2 linked regions of the Stegostoma tigrinum genome follow. The protein of the gene in region 2 purifies or fractionates together with the protein of the main gene of each other region. This does not show direct contact. Links are inferred from orthologs where the notes say so. Each region holds a gene or a part of one and is shown on either strand. Other genes may lie near its edges.

The links.
Region 1: the proteins of ataxin-7 (region 2) and usp22 purify together in Homo sapiens (affinity purification with western blotting; 7 studies listed by BioGRID and IntAct, with this or other methods). This does not show direct contact. The link is inferred for Stegostoma tigrinum from reciprocal best matches to the Homo sapiens genes ATXN7 and USP22.

Annotation. Positions count from the first base shown.
Region 1 is NC_081376.1:20,206,668-20,213,669, reverse strand, and holds the start of usp22 (ubiquitin carboxyl-terminal hydrolase 22), read right to left. Parts: upstream 3,038-7,002; 5' UTR 2,853-3,037; coding exon 2,733-2,852; intron 1-2,732. UniProt on the Homo sapiens protein: Deubiquitinase that plays a role in several cellular processes including transcriptional regulation, cell cycle progression or innate immunity.
Region 2 is NC_081364.1:48,247,025-48,254,905, forward strand, and holds the start of ataxin-7, read right to left. Parts: upstream 3,055-7,881; 5' UTR 2,648-3,054; coding exon 2,482-2,647; intron 2,332-2,481; coding exon 2,263-2,331; intron 1-2,262. UniProt on the Homo sapiens protein: Acts as a component of the SAGA (aka STAGA) transcription coactivator-HAT complex. Mediates the interaction of SAGA complex with the CRX and is involved in CRX-dependent gene activation.

The sequences.
Region 1 (7,002 bases), on a different chromosome or scaffold from region 2:
TCAGGACAGATTAGCACAAGTAATATATTTGTTACCACAAAGTAAACAAGTTCAATTCAGATGCGTGCCCTTCCTGAAACTATGGCATTGAGACAAAGTCATCTCCAGTCCAACTAGTCAATGCCAATCATTTTTGCCCCTAACAAAACTAGCTGCACTTGTCTGCATTTGGCCAATATCTCTTCAAACCTTTCATGTTCATGTACCTGTCCAAGTGTCTTTGAAAATGTTGTAACTGTATCTGCATTCATCACTTCCTCTGGCAGTTCATTCCACACATGTGCCACTCACTGTATACAAGAGTGGACCCTCATGTCCTTCTTAAAATCTTTTCTCCTCTCACCTTAAAAGTATGCCCCCTTGTTTTGAACTCCCTCATGGCAGGCAAAGACCCTTGCTATTCAATTTATGTATGCTTCTCATGATTTTATAAACCCTCAAGGTTATCCCTCAAACTCCTCCTCTCCAATGAACTAAGTCCCAGAATATCCAGCCTCTCCTAAGAACTCAAGCCTTCCAGTCCCAACAACATCCTGGTAAATCTTTTCTGAATCCCCTCCAATTTAATAATATGTATGGTGACCAGAACGGCATATAGCACTTCAGAAGAGACCTCACCAATATCCTGTACAACCTCAACAGGACATCCCAAGCCCTGTACTCAAATGGTCTGAACAATGAAGACAGGCATACTAAACACCTTCATTACCTCCCTGTCTACCTGTGACAAATTTCAAATCCCCATGTCTCTGTTCTACAAAACACTCCCCATGGCCCTATCATTATTAGTGCAACTCCTGCCCTTGCTTGTTTTACCAAAATGTAATAGCTCACATTTATACAAATCAAACTATCTGCCAATCCTCACCCCATTAACCCAAGTGATAAAGATCTCTTTGGAATCTTAGACAACCTTCTTCGTTGTCCACTATACCACCAATTTTGAATATCTGCAAGCTTACTGGCAAAGTCTAAATGTTTATCCAAATCATTTATATCAATAGCAAAAGTGGACCCGGCACCAATCCCTCTAGAACACTAAGTAACAGGCCTCCAGTCTGAGAAACAACCTTGTATGACTACCCTGTCTCCTTCCACCAAGCTAATTTCGTATCCAATTGGCAAGCTCACCCTGAATCCCATGTGACCTAACCTCACTAATTAATCTACCATGTGGAACCTGTCAAAGGCTTTACTGAAGTCTATGTAAACAACATCTATTATTCTTTTGATTACATCCTCAAATGAGGTCAAAAATCAAGTCTGAAAGATATGATTTTCCTTGGACTAAACCGTGCCATCTATCCATAATCAGTCCATGCCTCTCCAAATGCATGTAAATCTTAAAATTACAGCATGTAGACAAACAAGAAAATAACCTTGCTTGTATACCTTTGTGGTGTGGCAAACTCACTCTTGGAAAGAGATCATCCTGCATATAGATTATCTCCCCTTCCTATTCCTTGCCAGAAATGAGCAGTATCTTTATATTGAAGAAATCCAATAGTGCAGGCACCCCTTACTTTAATCACATAATGCAGATTCTGTTTTTCGATAACATCTCCTGTTAACATCTCACACACTGGTACAACCTGGCCAGATCGTACTGCAGACTACACTGTTAAGGTGAGGCAAACTGATCATAAGGTGATTCCTACAATACTAGGATTCTAGAGCACCACAGTAGATAATAACATTCTTTACAACACTACTACTGCCAGTTTGCCCTATTAAAAAGGGACAGTATTTGCACAACAGTTTATTACATCTATCAAGGGCACAAAATGCCAGTATTAATGGACTTCCTCAACATGGGAACACATCTTTCGCTTACTGACATGAACATGCCAAAAACAGGAACATTTGCCATTTTAAAAGGACACAGTGTATTCCTGAGAAGCTTAATGCCACTTTCCCTCATCATATCAGAACAAAGCAAATCAACCCACAGAGCTCCTGCACAAAATTTGTCTCAAAAGCAAATGCTGAAAAAACCAAACTCAGCAGGCCTACCAGCATTTGTGGAGACAGAAGTAAAGTTAACATTTCAAGTCCAATAAAACTCAAATTTGTATTATTACACTGGGTATCTGTCAGTTGTCTGACCACAACGGTGCTGAGAACCATTAATTAAGTCCCTGATCTTGCTGGACATATTTAGCATGACCTGTCTCAAAAAAAAACAAAATAAGGGAGGCCACAAGCCCCACCTAGACACCCTTTTATAAAGGGCCATACTTAAAAGACACTAGTTTTACGACTACTGCAGGGAACAATCACCCTGCACACAAAAAGAAAACTTTCTGGCATCTGTCCCAAACTGACCTTTATCAGTTTCTAGCCTTGTCATGAACCAATTTCAAATAGTGCTAAGGATTAACCATCTAAATTTAAGTATCATTAGGTATCACTGTCGCATTCATCATCTTTCTCTTTTTTTCCTAGCTTCTCCTCATAACTGAGTCCTCTGAAATGATTCAACCTTTTTTTTTACTGTCAGAGAGACTCCACCTGCATCTTTGCCCATCACTGTTCATGCGACGACTCCACCTCTGTCCCTCCCCTTACAACTGTGCCCCTCACGGTCCCAGTGAGAGCCTCCCTTGTACAGTAGCTCTTATCCATTACTGTAGCAGTGTCAGTGACTCTTCACCACCTCAAACGAGAGAGGTCCGTCTTGCGAGGCTGCCTTTGCTGGAGAGTCCCCTATCCGTGGCGAGCCCGGCCCTTACCTTCCTTTTCCTGCTCTCCGCAGTCCCACTCCACACAAAGCACTGGTAAATTACTCGCAGGCTCTGCTTCCAATTGTCCGCCTTAAAACTGTTCACATGGGAGCACCCGGCCGGACTCATGACAGGAGCCGCACCACAAGCACTGCCGCCAACGCGCAATCTCGGGCCGCAAGCTGTCCCCGCAACGCCTCCTCCTCCGCCGCTTTCCACCCCCAAAGCGCCGCCCGCCGCCGTCGCGGCTCCGATTATTTATATGAAGAAAAGCCCATAGTGTCGGCAAAGGATGATGGTCGTCAGGCGGCAGCGCTCCGGGAGGAGGAAAGCAAACTCGCCGAAACTGCAGGAAGTCCCACCTACCCCTGCAGAGTCATTGGTCAAGATGCCGGGCCCTTTACACAACCTGTCCTCCGATTGGTTAGCGTTACTATCCATCACTGCGCGGGACCGGAGGTTTTTCTCGCCTTGCGGAGGGAGGGTAGCAGAGACAACGCACTGGCGGATGTCCCGCCCACATGCTGTGCTCCGATTGGATAACATCCGGCCCTTGTTTCCTGCTCCATTTCTAATTGGTTGTTGTGCTGTCTATCGGCTGACGGTACCGGTATAGAGGACGGGCGTTTGAGCGATTTGAATGGCGTGAATGCGCTGCTTCCGGTTCCTGCTGCTAAGGCTTCCTGTTACTGGCTGGCTGAGGTTTTAGGGCCTCCTCATTTGTTAGGTTTTTCTCCTTACGTTCTATTGAAAGTACATATGGTTGCCTAAATGTCGCTGTTATGTGAATTGTTGACTTCATTTGTGTAATGGAATCTCCCGCCGGCGCCACCGATTTTTGTCTTGTTCGCCCATGGGTGCCTTCCTGACTCCACCCTGTAGGCCTTGGTTTAGCTGAGCACCTTGCCACCTCCGTCCTATCTCATCTCTTAAAGACTTTCAAAATAACTTGGCCAGTTGGTTGTTCTGCTGGTGGAGAGATTAATCTATGTGTCCCGGCACCTTTTTTAGCTGTTTTTTAATTTCTCTTATTTGCACTTTTCCGGGCGTCCGTATTTTCATAATTTTAAGCGTTTTCTTTAAAGTCCGAGCGAATTGCAAAGGGCAACTGTGTAATGTTTTTCTGAATCCAACGTGGTATCTAGCATTTTGTGTAGTTAATCTAGTTGGGCACCGCAAATTCCCACATTCAGCTTTGTGATAGAGATAAATTAATTGCTTTGAATAGTGGAGTGGAATCTTTTATTCTTCAGAGGGCAAATGAGAGAAGTCTTAAAAATGAGTTCCAATTGTACATCTACTCTTATCAGTATACTGGGAGTGTATGCCTCCTTGGTACTGGTTAAGGTTGCATTTTGTGTTTTTTTTTGGGTATGGCCGGGTGGAATCAGCAATCATTCTGCCCCCTTTGTTTAGGGATTGTGTTCAAATCCCTAGAAAATGTCTTCAACTCAGTATCCTCTGACCCAAGGACAAATGTGTTACTAACCAAGCCATAAATTACCTTGTGGTTTTAGCCTATTTTTTTAATAAGCCTCTCTCAAATATGTCATTGTTTGGCCAACATGAAGGTTTATGGTGCAGAAAATGGACCTTCAGCCAATCAAGTCTGTACTAGTCAAAATCAACCACTTAACTATGCTACACCTATTTCCCACCACTTGATCTTTGGCATTGCAGGTGTAAGCCTATATGCTGTTTCAATGTTATGAGGGTTTCTGCTTCCACCACCCTTACAGGCTGCGGGCTCCAGATTCAAAGTCATGTGACTTGGAAACACCCTAACTAGTCAATGCTGATCATTACCCAAACTAAACTAGTCTCGCTCCGTGTTTGACCCATATCCCTCCAAATTTTTCATATTTCTGCCACCCTCTGGGTGAAAACATTTTTCCTGAAAATATCCTGCCCCTTTCCTTAAATTGTGACCCTAGTCATTGATCCCTCTACCAAGGAGAAAAGTCTCTTCCTGCCTACCCTTTTGATGCCCCTCATAATTTTATATATCTCAATCATATCCACCCTCTGTCTCTTCTATGGCCAGGAAAACAACCCAGATCATCCCATTTCCCATGACCAAAACTCACCACCCCAGGCAATGTTCTGGTAAATCTCTGCCAACACTTAGTCCCATGACATCCTAGCAATAATGTGGATTCCAGAACACACATACAAAAATACCCCTTGTCCATCACACTCCACTTCCTGCCACACAGCCAATTCTGATTACAATTAGCTATATTTCCTTAATCCCATGTGCTCTTACCTTCACTATCATTTTCTCTGAAGCTTTGCTGAAGTCTAAGAAAACTACACAAAAAGCATTGCCCTTCTCTACACACCTGGTTACTTATTTGAAAATTCAGTCAAGTTAGCCAGACATGGCACTTAACAAAATCCTGTTGACTGTTCTTGCTTAATCCATGCCTCTCTAAATGCTGTCCCTCAGAACTGCTTCCAATCGTTTCCCCTACACTAAGGTTTAACTGACTGGCCTGGAGTTTGTTGGTTTATAGCTTGATCCCTTCTTAAAAAAACAGTACCACTTCGTTTGCCCTCCAGTCTTGAAAATTATTGCCAGCAACCCCCCATTTCATTCCTCACAACAGCCTGGGATTCATTTCATCCAGCCCTGGAAATTTATCTACTTTTAAGCCTGCCAGATTACTCAGAGCTACTAGTCTATGCTAATTTATTTACATTTATCACAGTCTTTCTCCTTGATTTCTAAACCCACATTGTCCCTCACAAATGATCACTAACACAAAATATTAATTTAGAACCCTGTCTACATCATCGAGCTCTACGGACATGAAATTACTAAGAAAGAAAGCCGAAAAAGCTGGAAACGTTTGGTTGACCTGCCATTTGTGAAAAGAGAAACTGTCAATTTTGCACATCTCACCTTTTATCAGGATTAAGAAAAATTACAAATGTACTATTCTCTTTTTTCTCCCCCCTCCTTGTCCTTAGCAAGATATTTACTATCAACGCACTTTTAAATGGTTTTGGAAAGGAAAGGAATGATTAATGATAGTCAACATGGCTCTGTGCTGGGAAATCATGCCTCATAGCTTGATAGAGTTTTTTGAAGAAGTGATGAAGAAGATTCATGGAGACAAAGCAGTAGCTGTTGTCATTTTTGACTTTGGCAAGGCATTTGACAAGGTTCTGCATGGTAGACCGGTAAACAGGGTTAGATCACATGGAATCTGAGGGGGCTAGCTAAACAGATATGAAATTGATTTTCAAGGGTGGTTTTTCCAGACTTGAGGCCTGTAACCAATGGTGTGCTGCAAGGTTTGGTGCTAGTTCCACTGCTTTTTGGCATTAATATAATTTATTTGGATGTGAACAACTTTTCTTTGAACTCCACTCACATCCTTAAAGTGAACTGAACAAGGCAGCCATCAACTGATAAGAGTGTACTAAAAACACTGATAAATACACTGTGGGCAGTGTTCACATCAATCATACTAGTTTTGATTGATTGTCACATGTACCGAAATACAGTGAAAGTCTTTGTTTACAAGCAGTATGGGCAGATCATAGTAAGCAAAGAATGTACAGATCAAAAAGACTTAGACACAGACTCCATTCATGTGTCTGATGATGGCTGGGATGAACCTGTTCTTGAACCTGCTTGTGTGTGTGTTCAGGTTTCTGTATCTTCTGCCTGATGGCGGAGGTTGTAGGAGATTATTACCGGTGTGTCATGGGTCTTTGATGACGTTGGTAGCGTTTCTGCAGTAGCAAGCCATGTAAGTGGATTCATAACCAAAATTTTCGTTTAAATAAAAGATTTTGATAGACAATAAATTTTTTCATATAAAACATCAATATCTGCAGAAATCAATATTTATATCAGGGATTTGTTCTGAATTATTATTTTGTGCTACTTTGCTTTCTCCATGTAATTTTTTGAAGGCTTTAATGCTCCTAATTCAATTTAGCAGATTAGCACTGAGAAAATCCAAACTGTATTTAAGAGGAATAAAAGATTTTTAAAACTTCAACTCTACACAGAAAATTATTACTATCTATTCATTAGAAACTAGGACTAGATCAACAGCTCTGTGTAAAGGATATAGCTTCTGAAAGAAAAACAGAAAATTAACCCCAGGTAATTGACATTATCCATAACATGAGAAGGAATCTAAAATAATTAAAACTTATCAATTCAGTTAAGTTGACTAAACAAAGTTTGTATTATCAGTTTGTATTGTATTGCTGGCAAATTAACCCCATAACTAAAAACACAATCATATTAAAAAGTCAG
Region 2 (7,881 bases):
AAATAATGCAAGATTAAAACATTTAGTAACCACCCACCAAGCCAGGTTCTGCTGTTACAAAAGTGTATACTCAACGCAGATGCTGTTTTCAACATCAAACAGGTATCAAAGCTGGTCTGACAACATCCGCTAAGCCATCATGACAAATTTAGACTCTGGGCGCTTGAAAGGCCATGAAGTCAGTAAGTTAAATCATATTTGATACCTGGTCCTGTGTTCAAAATGTTTGAAAGAAACCAGCAAGAGAACAAATAGTGATGAAGAAAAGAAAAAGGCTAAAAATGTTAGAATTATAAATGCACATTACACTGGGGAGAAGGTTTAAATAAAAGTAAATAATGACAATATGGACAGGAAGTCAACCCAAACATTTTTAAGTGCAACTTAAAATTGGTGCAAATGCTTCTTGTAGTCTACAAGCATTAGATTAATAAAACATTAGTTTTAATGGATACTTGTTCACCATAATGAATTCAAATTTAACCAGTAATAGGTAGGTAGCATTTTCCTATTAACAATCGAGATTAAATATAACAATGATGTTCAATTTAGAGTACAGTGGCCCAAGAGACTCCACTTATCGAAGCCCAAGAAAACAAGTCATTTCTCAGCATAAATAGTTGTCAAATTGAACAATAAAAACATGAAGTACAACATTTTTAACCTTGATATTAGACATTTTTTTAAAAAAGTTATTCGTTTGTCATTTATTAAAAAAAAATCACAATGACTTTCTAACCTAGAAAATCAATTTTTCCTGTTAACAACATCTCCCAACTATCAAATTAAAATTAAAGGGGAGTTTTTGTTGCATTAAAATGCCTTGTAGATCCATTAATCATGTTCCATGCCTACAAGTATGCACGGAAGTGATCATCATTACATGGTTTTACAGATTGAGTAAAATCGAGTTTCAAGTAAACCAGTATTGGATACATTTGCCTCAGAAACTGATAAATGTTGGCAGAAGGAATGAAATAGAAGTCCGTGTCAGCAAACACTCATCAAGTTTACAGAGTTCACTCTGAACAACGTTAAAACAGGTTTGTACCCGAACTCAAGAACACACTTATTGAATCAGTACAAGTTTTTCGATTTCCATCTCAACAGTGCAGCCTCAATGAAAGTCAGATTAGGGCTGAATTGTGAGCAGTTGCGTGCCATGATCTATTGTCCAAGGCACTAACTGAGAAGGACTATCTAAAATAATTCGGTTTGAAGATCTTTACAAACATCTTGCTTCAGCTAGATAGATTCAAACCAAAACACCAGTTCCTAAAATTTAAAAAATGTAGGTATTGTAACAAGATCAACACATCCATCTACAACATTTTTACTGAATTTTATTTAATACTTCAGCAGTATTCTAAAATTTAAATTAGAGCATTTGCACACTTAAGAATAGGAATGGAGGTCCAGTCCAGTTCCATTTCACAATCTGATTTAAACTGAAACTTAACTCTGCAACCAGTATACACATCAACATCTAAACTGCAGATGATCCAAGGTCTAACAAATAGAAGGTAAGGTGGGTAAATTTTAAGTATCAGTTTTTCCTCAATGGTCACTCCTGCCAGTTAGAATAGAGACTGTTAGCCACAATTTATGGATATTTTAAAGTTAGTTTACATGGCACAGTTCAAAATTTACAACTTTTCTATCTGAAGTTTAAAATTGGACTAAATACTAAGTTTCACGAAAACAAATCAGTGACAATTTAGTGACAAGGTATATTGCTCAGCTTGAGCACAGAGTCGGGCATAAATGAAACCAAAAATAGCTAACATTAACCTCTTGAAGTAAGCTAATATTGTGGTGATGAACTTCCGTAGAATCATCGAACATAGTGGAATACCAGATTATGTTGTATTACAGTACTATTCGTGATTTCAAGTTTGATTTGCTACAAAATATAATCTAGAACCACTCCCTCATTACCTGAGGAACAAGACAGTAACTGAACCCTAACACGTAGATTACGGAAAGCAACTTTTTAAAAAATTAAGTCTACGAAATCATTACGTGGGTGGGGGAAGGAGGAGGAGGAGGAGAAGGGAATGGGAACTTGGAACGTTTCGTTGGTTGACCTAGCTCCTACAAATATTTGGGTAAACCATGAGTTCTGAATACATCCATGTAACAGGCCCCCCTTTTGGTCTAGTTGCCAGTGCCTGCGAAGCAGAGTCACCAGCCCGCGGTTAGGAGCCTGTACAACAGGCAGGCAGAAGCAGGAACACTGCAAAGTTTGAAGCCACCACTCACCTTCCCGGCTCAGCCGCATCACCTCCCGGTTTTTCCCACACTCCTTAAAAGTTTCTTCCAATTCGGTGCCTGTGTAACAATTGGACACATCAGTCAGTCAGTCACTGAGTTACACTTGCCTGCCTTGCCTGCGCCAAGTCGGCGCTCAAACATCCCGGGCCCGCTCGTCGCTTCGCCGCTAAAAGTCTTTTCTAAGATTAAAGAGCGTTTTGGGCTCACCGTCCGCCCCGTGCTGTTTGGCGGCATCGATCCAGTGGGTCCAGGGCTGTCCCGCCAGCGCCTCCGGACTGGGTAGTCTCCTCTCCACAGTCGCCATTGCTGATCCTTCTTGCTGCCCGGCCGCGCTTCGGGCCGCGGTGACGTCAGCCTCGGCCGTTTCCGCCATCTTTTCGCTACATTCTGGCAGGAATTCACCCTCCCCTTTAACTGGAATCCCCTCCCCTTTAACAGGAAGCGCTGCTGGGACTGCAACATTGGGGCAAGTTTCTCTGGCCCTGCGGCCCACTCTGCCCCTTTAACAGACCGACAGACTTAACAAATGTACCGCCTCGCAGGAAACAGTTCCGGTTATAACCTATGAAATGAATTTCTTGCATAAATACTTAGAAGATTTTACTTGTTTGGTTTTTTCGCGGAGAACAGCAGGGTGAAGCTCTTTCGAAAAGCTACAGAGACTGAGTGGCTTCCTGTGTTGTATCATTCTAGAAACTCGTGGATGTGTTAAACACCACTGTGAGGATGCTTGCCAGAATGCTGTTGTCCACCAGAAATAGTGACTGTTGGTGCTTTCCCGCATTGATCAGAAAGGAAAAGCTGGGTAGTAGAGCTAGCTGAGATGTTCTTGCATTGAACCAGCGCAGAAATAATGGGCTGAATGGCCTGTTTGTATCGCAAGCATTTTGTGATGCTGTTGTCGGCCCTCTTGCTATTTGCTTCAGCACCATCATGACTGGCCGTGAGATGGAAAGAAAACAAAAGGCACAGAAACAATAACCTTACTGTTCACGAAGACTTGAAACCACCAACCCCAACTCCCACCCCGCCCCGCCAGCACCAAATAAAAGTGCAGGCGCCAATGTCAGGAGCAACAGCTAATATTCGAATAGGGCTGACATCAAACCCCTATCCAGATAAGGAAAGGTGAAACCTATATAATACATAAACCCAATCATTACTGACCCAACTGCAGTGGTGTCTGGCTTCGATAATCCTCGATGATAACGGGCAACACTCTACAGCATCTGCAAAGGGCTTGGTGATAAAGTCAGCTTCTCCTTTAATGCAGAACTGTCTGAAATGTAATGGTGGTCATAAACACAGACTATGGAACACATCAAATTACTCACTAAAACTAGTTGTGGGGGCTACCTCGTCTCTCCACTTGCAATCTCAGGCCATCGCATGGCCAACTAAACTCGATATCCCATGAGAAGCTATTCCTGTCATAGAAAAGGAGTCGTATTCTATAAACTTGCGTCTGGATTTCTTCTCACCTGCTACCCCCCCCCAGGGTATAACTGCAAATATGTTACCTGCATCGATTGAAAAGGCGTTTAAGGTTGCAGCTCAACGATTCTGGAAATTTATTGCATCATTGGTGTATTATTTATGTTTTCTTATTCCTTAAATAAACGGGTACGTCGAGGTGGTTTAGTTTAGATAATCACGATTACCACATAACTTTTAGGGGAATGGTGACGCGCAGTTCAGTGTTTTAAAATGACAGATTATCATTTCATCTACCCTCGATATCTGTGTGGTGCATCTGTATTTGGTGGCAGGTGCTGGCTTCTTTAACATAAACAGAGCAGCGTTGCACTTCCTAAACGGAGGACGTCAGGATCCAATCACCTACGCTGTAACCGCGCGTCACGGCCGGAGTTCCAGCCCAGTGAGAGAAGCTCCAAATCCGAACTTCTCTATCAGCAAAACAAACAGCTGGAGTGGTTGACACTTCAAGTGGTTGTTAGTTTGCAGATATTAACAGACATCTCCATTTGACGATTAGTAATACAGCTTATAAGGTGGATAATTCCCATCAGCACTAAAACGCACCTTTTTTGTGCCCCTAAATAAGATCAAAACACGTGTTTTCCTCTCAAGCTTTTTATAACATGATGCGGGCTTCCTCCCACAGTCGAAAGATTTGCAGGCTAGGTGGATCGGCCATGTTAAATTGCCCGTAGTGTTCAGGGGCATGTGGGTTATAGGGAGATGAGTTTGGGTGGGATGTTTCAAGGGGCGGTGTGGACTTGTTGGGCCGAAGGGCCTGTTTCCACACTGTAGGGATCTGATCTAATCTAATCTAATCATATGTAGTAAGTTAACTATTTTATATCTTCTTGTTAAGTTTGTTATTTGTAGTTCTGTTCATATAGAAAGTGTATGTCTAGGTCCCTGAATTAAAGCTGTATCCTCTCCTCTGACTGTTATTTACTGATTATTTGCTCAATTAAGCCCTAAAACGTATTCTGTCATTGAAGCATCATCAACATCATATAATGGACAAAAATTAAAATAATACTATTTTAAAATCAACATTAAAATTTAAATTACTTGCAAATAAAACCTTTAATGGAACTATTTCACACGAGAGTCTTTCCCTCAGAATTAATCTGAAAAAATATTCATATAAAAAAATTAGTAATGAGTTTATAAGTGGATGAAGGTACAGACCTAACTGGGAGACCAATCAGACCATTTAAGTTCACTGTTGATTTATAGTATATTCTTATCAAGAAAGTCATTGAGATAGATGATAAAACATGGCTCTAGCTGGAATATTTCTCGCCGAATTTGTGGAAAATCTGATGGAGAGAAAAATTATCATCTTTGAGTGCACACATTCCATCTCCACTCTTTCTCTCACCTCACATTTTATTCTCTATCCTTTCCCCTTTTTTTTGCATCCCAGCCCTCTTACCACCTTATACCCATTCCTTTTAAAATATACAACAGCTTTTAGCTCTTCCCCATTCAATATCTTCTTCCTTTTAGGTCTTCCACTGAACCTCTTCATCTCTCAATCTTTCCATCCCATTGTGAATTTACCCTTTCTTTATGCCCCTACCAATAAAATGCCTCATCTGAAAATACATCCCACCAATAGGTTCTCCTTAGCCCAGAGGGCCATTAAGCCATATGTCCTATGTGTCTCTGATAATCTGTGGATATTGCAGGAAATTGGAACTGAGGTAAAAAATCAGCCATGATCTGCTTTCATGGTGGAGAAGGCTCAGGGGGCCAAATAGCCTATTTCCTTTTCATTGTGTAGATCAGAGAAATGTAATGGAAATAGAAGCATGTTAGAATGTATGATTCAAAGTATGAATAAATTATTTCTGCAAAAGGAAGTATAATTATCTTCATTTCTTCACCCTACTTCACATAAAATGACATTTGTTTTAGTTAGTGTGTTGTGCAGTGATATATTAATTAATAATACACATAAAATGAATTATGTATGCAAAATGTTTAATTGGTACATCACAACATCCCATTTAAAATAATTGTCGTTAAGATGCTTTAAGGTTTAGGTTTATCTGTAATACCTGGTACACTTGCAAATTTTACATCGACGGACCTTTGTGATGTTAATGATCGATTATTTGATTGATTTATTGTCACGTGTACTGAAATACATTGAGAAGTTTTGTTCACAAGCAGTACAGGCAGATCACAACAAGCAAAGGATGTACAGATCAGGAAGATTTAGAGGCATACAGATTACATTATTTGAGGCAAAAGTCCATTTAACAGTCTGATAACGACCAGCTGTTCCTGAGCCTCCTCATGCGTGTGTTCAGGCTTCTCTATGTTCTGCCTGACGGAAGAGGTTGTAAGACACCATTGCTAGGGTGCAATAGGTCTTTGATGATATTGTCTGCCTTTCCGCGGCAGCAAGCCATGTAAATAGAGACAATGGCTGGAAAGTGGCTTCCATGGTAACCTGAGCTGTGCACACCACTTTCTGCTGTTTCTTACTGTCCTGAGTAGAGCAGTTGCCACACCAGGCCATTATGCACCTGTACAGTATGCTTTTGATGTGCATCTATACAAGTTAGTGAAGGATCTTATGGACAGGGCAGATTTCCTGAGCTGCCTGAGGAAGAAGAGGCATTGTTGCGCCTTCTTGACTGTCACATTTACGTGGGAAGTCCAGGACAGGTCATCAGTTATCGTCACTCCTAGGAACTTGATGCTCTTCACTCTCTCAACCTCAGTTCCATTGATGAAGATGGGGGCGTGTTCTCCCCTTTCTTTCTGAAGTTGATGATTAGTTCTTCAGTTTTACCAACATTGAGAGACAGATTGTTTTCATTGTAGCATGTCACCAAGCCCTCTATCTCCCTTCTGTATTTTCACACATCATTATTAGATATCCATCCCACTACAGTGGTGTCATCAGTGAACTTGTAGATGGTGTTCATTTGGAATTTGGCAACACAGTCGTAAGTATACAGGGAGAACAGTAGGGGGCTGAGGGCATATCTTTGGGGGGGCTCCAGTGTTGAGTGTTATTGTGAAGGAGGTGCAGTTACCTATCTTCACTGATTACAGTCTGTGGGTCAGAAAGCTGAAGATCCAGTTGCAGAGGGTAGAGCCAAGACCAAGGTCATGCAGTTTTGAGATCAGTCTGGAGGGGATAATGGTGTTGAAGGCAGAGCTGGAGCCAACGAGCAGGAGCCTGACATAGGTGTCTTTGTTATCTTATTGTTCTTTTAATGCATAGTTATTATATCTAGGAGTCTTAACATCCTAACTTCTAACATTATAGTTAACATTTAAAATTGAGTTTTGCATTCTGCATTCAGAGTACAGTCACCAGGGTTTCTATGGAGCAACCTACACTTCAGTCTCCAGTGGTATCAGCTGTGTTGGTCAACAGTGAAGATAAAGAGGAAATCAAAACTATAAATTTAAGCCAATTTTATTTGGCTTTGTACAAATCAACTAGAGAGTCTCACTTGGGCAGTTTACTTTCACACTTTCCATCATTCATCAAGTTCTGTGCCTCTGGATATTTCTTGTGGAAATTCTGATCTCCCCTCGTAAAACTGATTCCCAACAACTTCCTACCTAGCCTTACTATTTTATGCCTTCATAATGAAGCAGTTCTGCACCTTTTGAGCAATCCTTGGTAAGCTATATCCCTTCTGCTGAAACAGGTTCAAGGGGCTGAATGGCCTACTTCTGTTCCTATGTTCTCCAAGCTCTTGCAAGGCTTTTGTAGAAAATGGGTCTCAGTGCCTGAATGTATGCTGCTTCTCACAAGCATAAGTGAGCCACTTCATGTGCTTAATTAGCTTAATTTTGTTGCTAGTATAGCTATTAGCACACTCAAGAAAACAAAAGGAATATATTCAAGCCTTGTGCCTTTTTAAAATGATCCAAGAAATGGGGAAGCCTGTTTCTCCTTGATACTTTCTTTAATGGCAATACCTTGGCTAATCAGCATTCCTTATTCCCATCATGTAAATTGTTATCACAAACAAAAACAGAAATTGCCGGAAAAGCTCAGCATGTCTGGCAGCATTAATCAGAGTTAACGTATAGGGTCCAATGGTCCTTCCTCAGAACTGATGGCAGCTGGGAAAATGTTGGGTTTTTATGCCTATA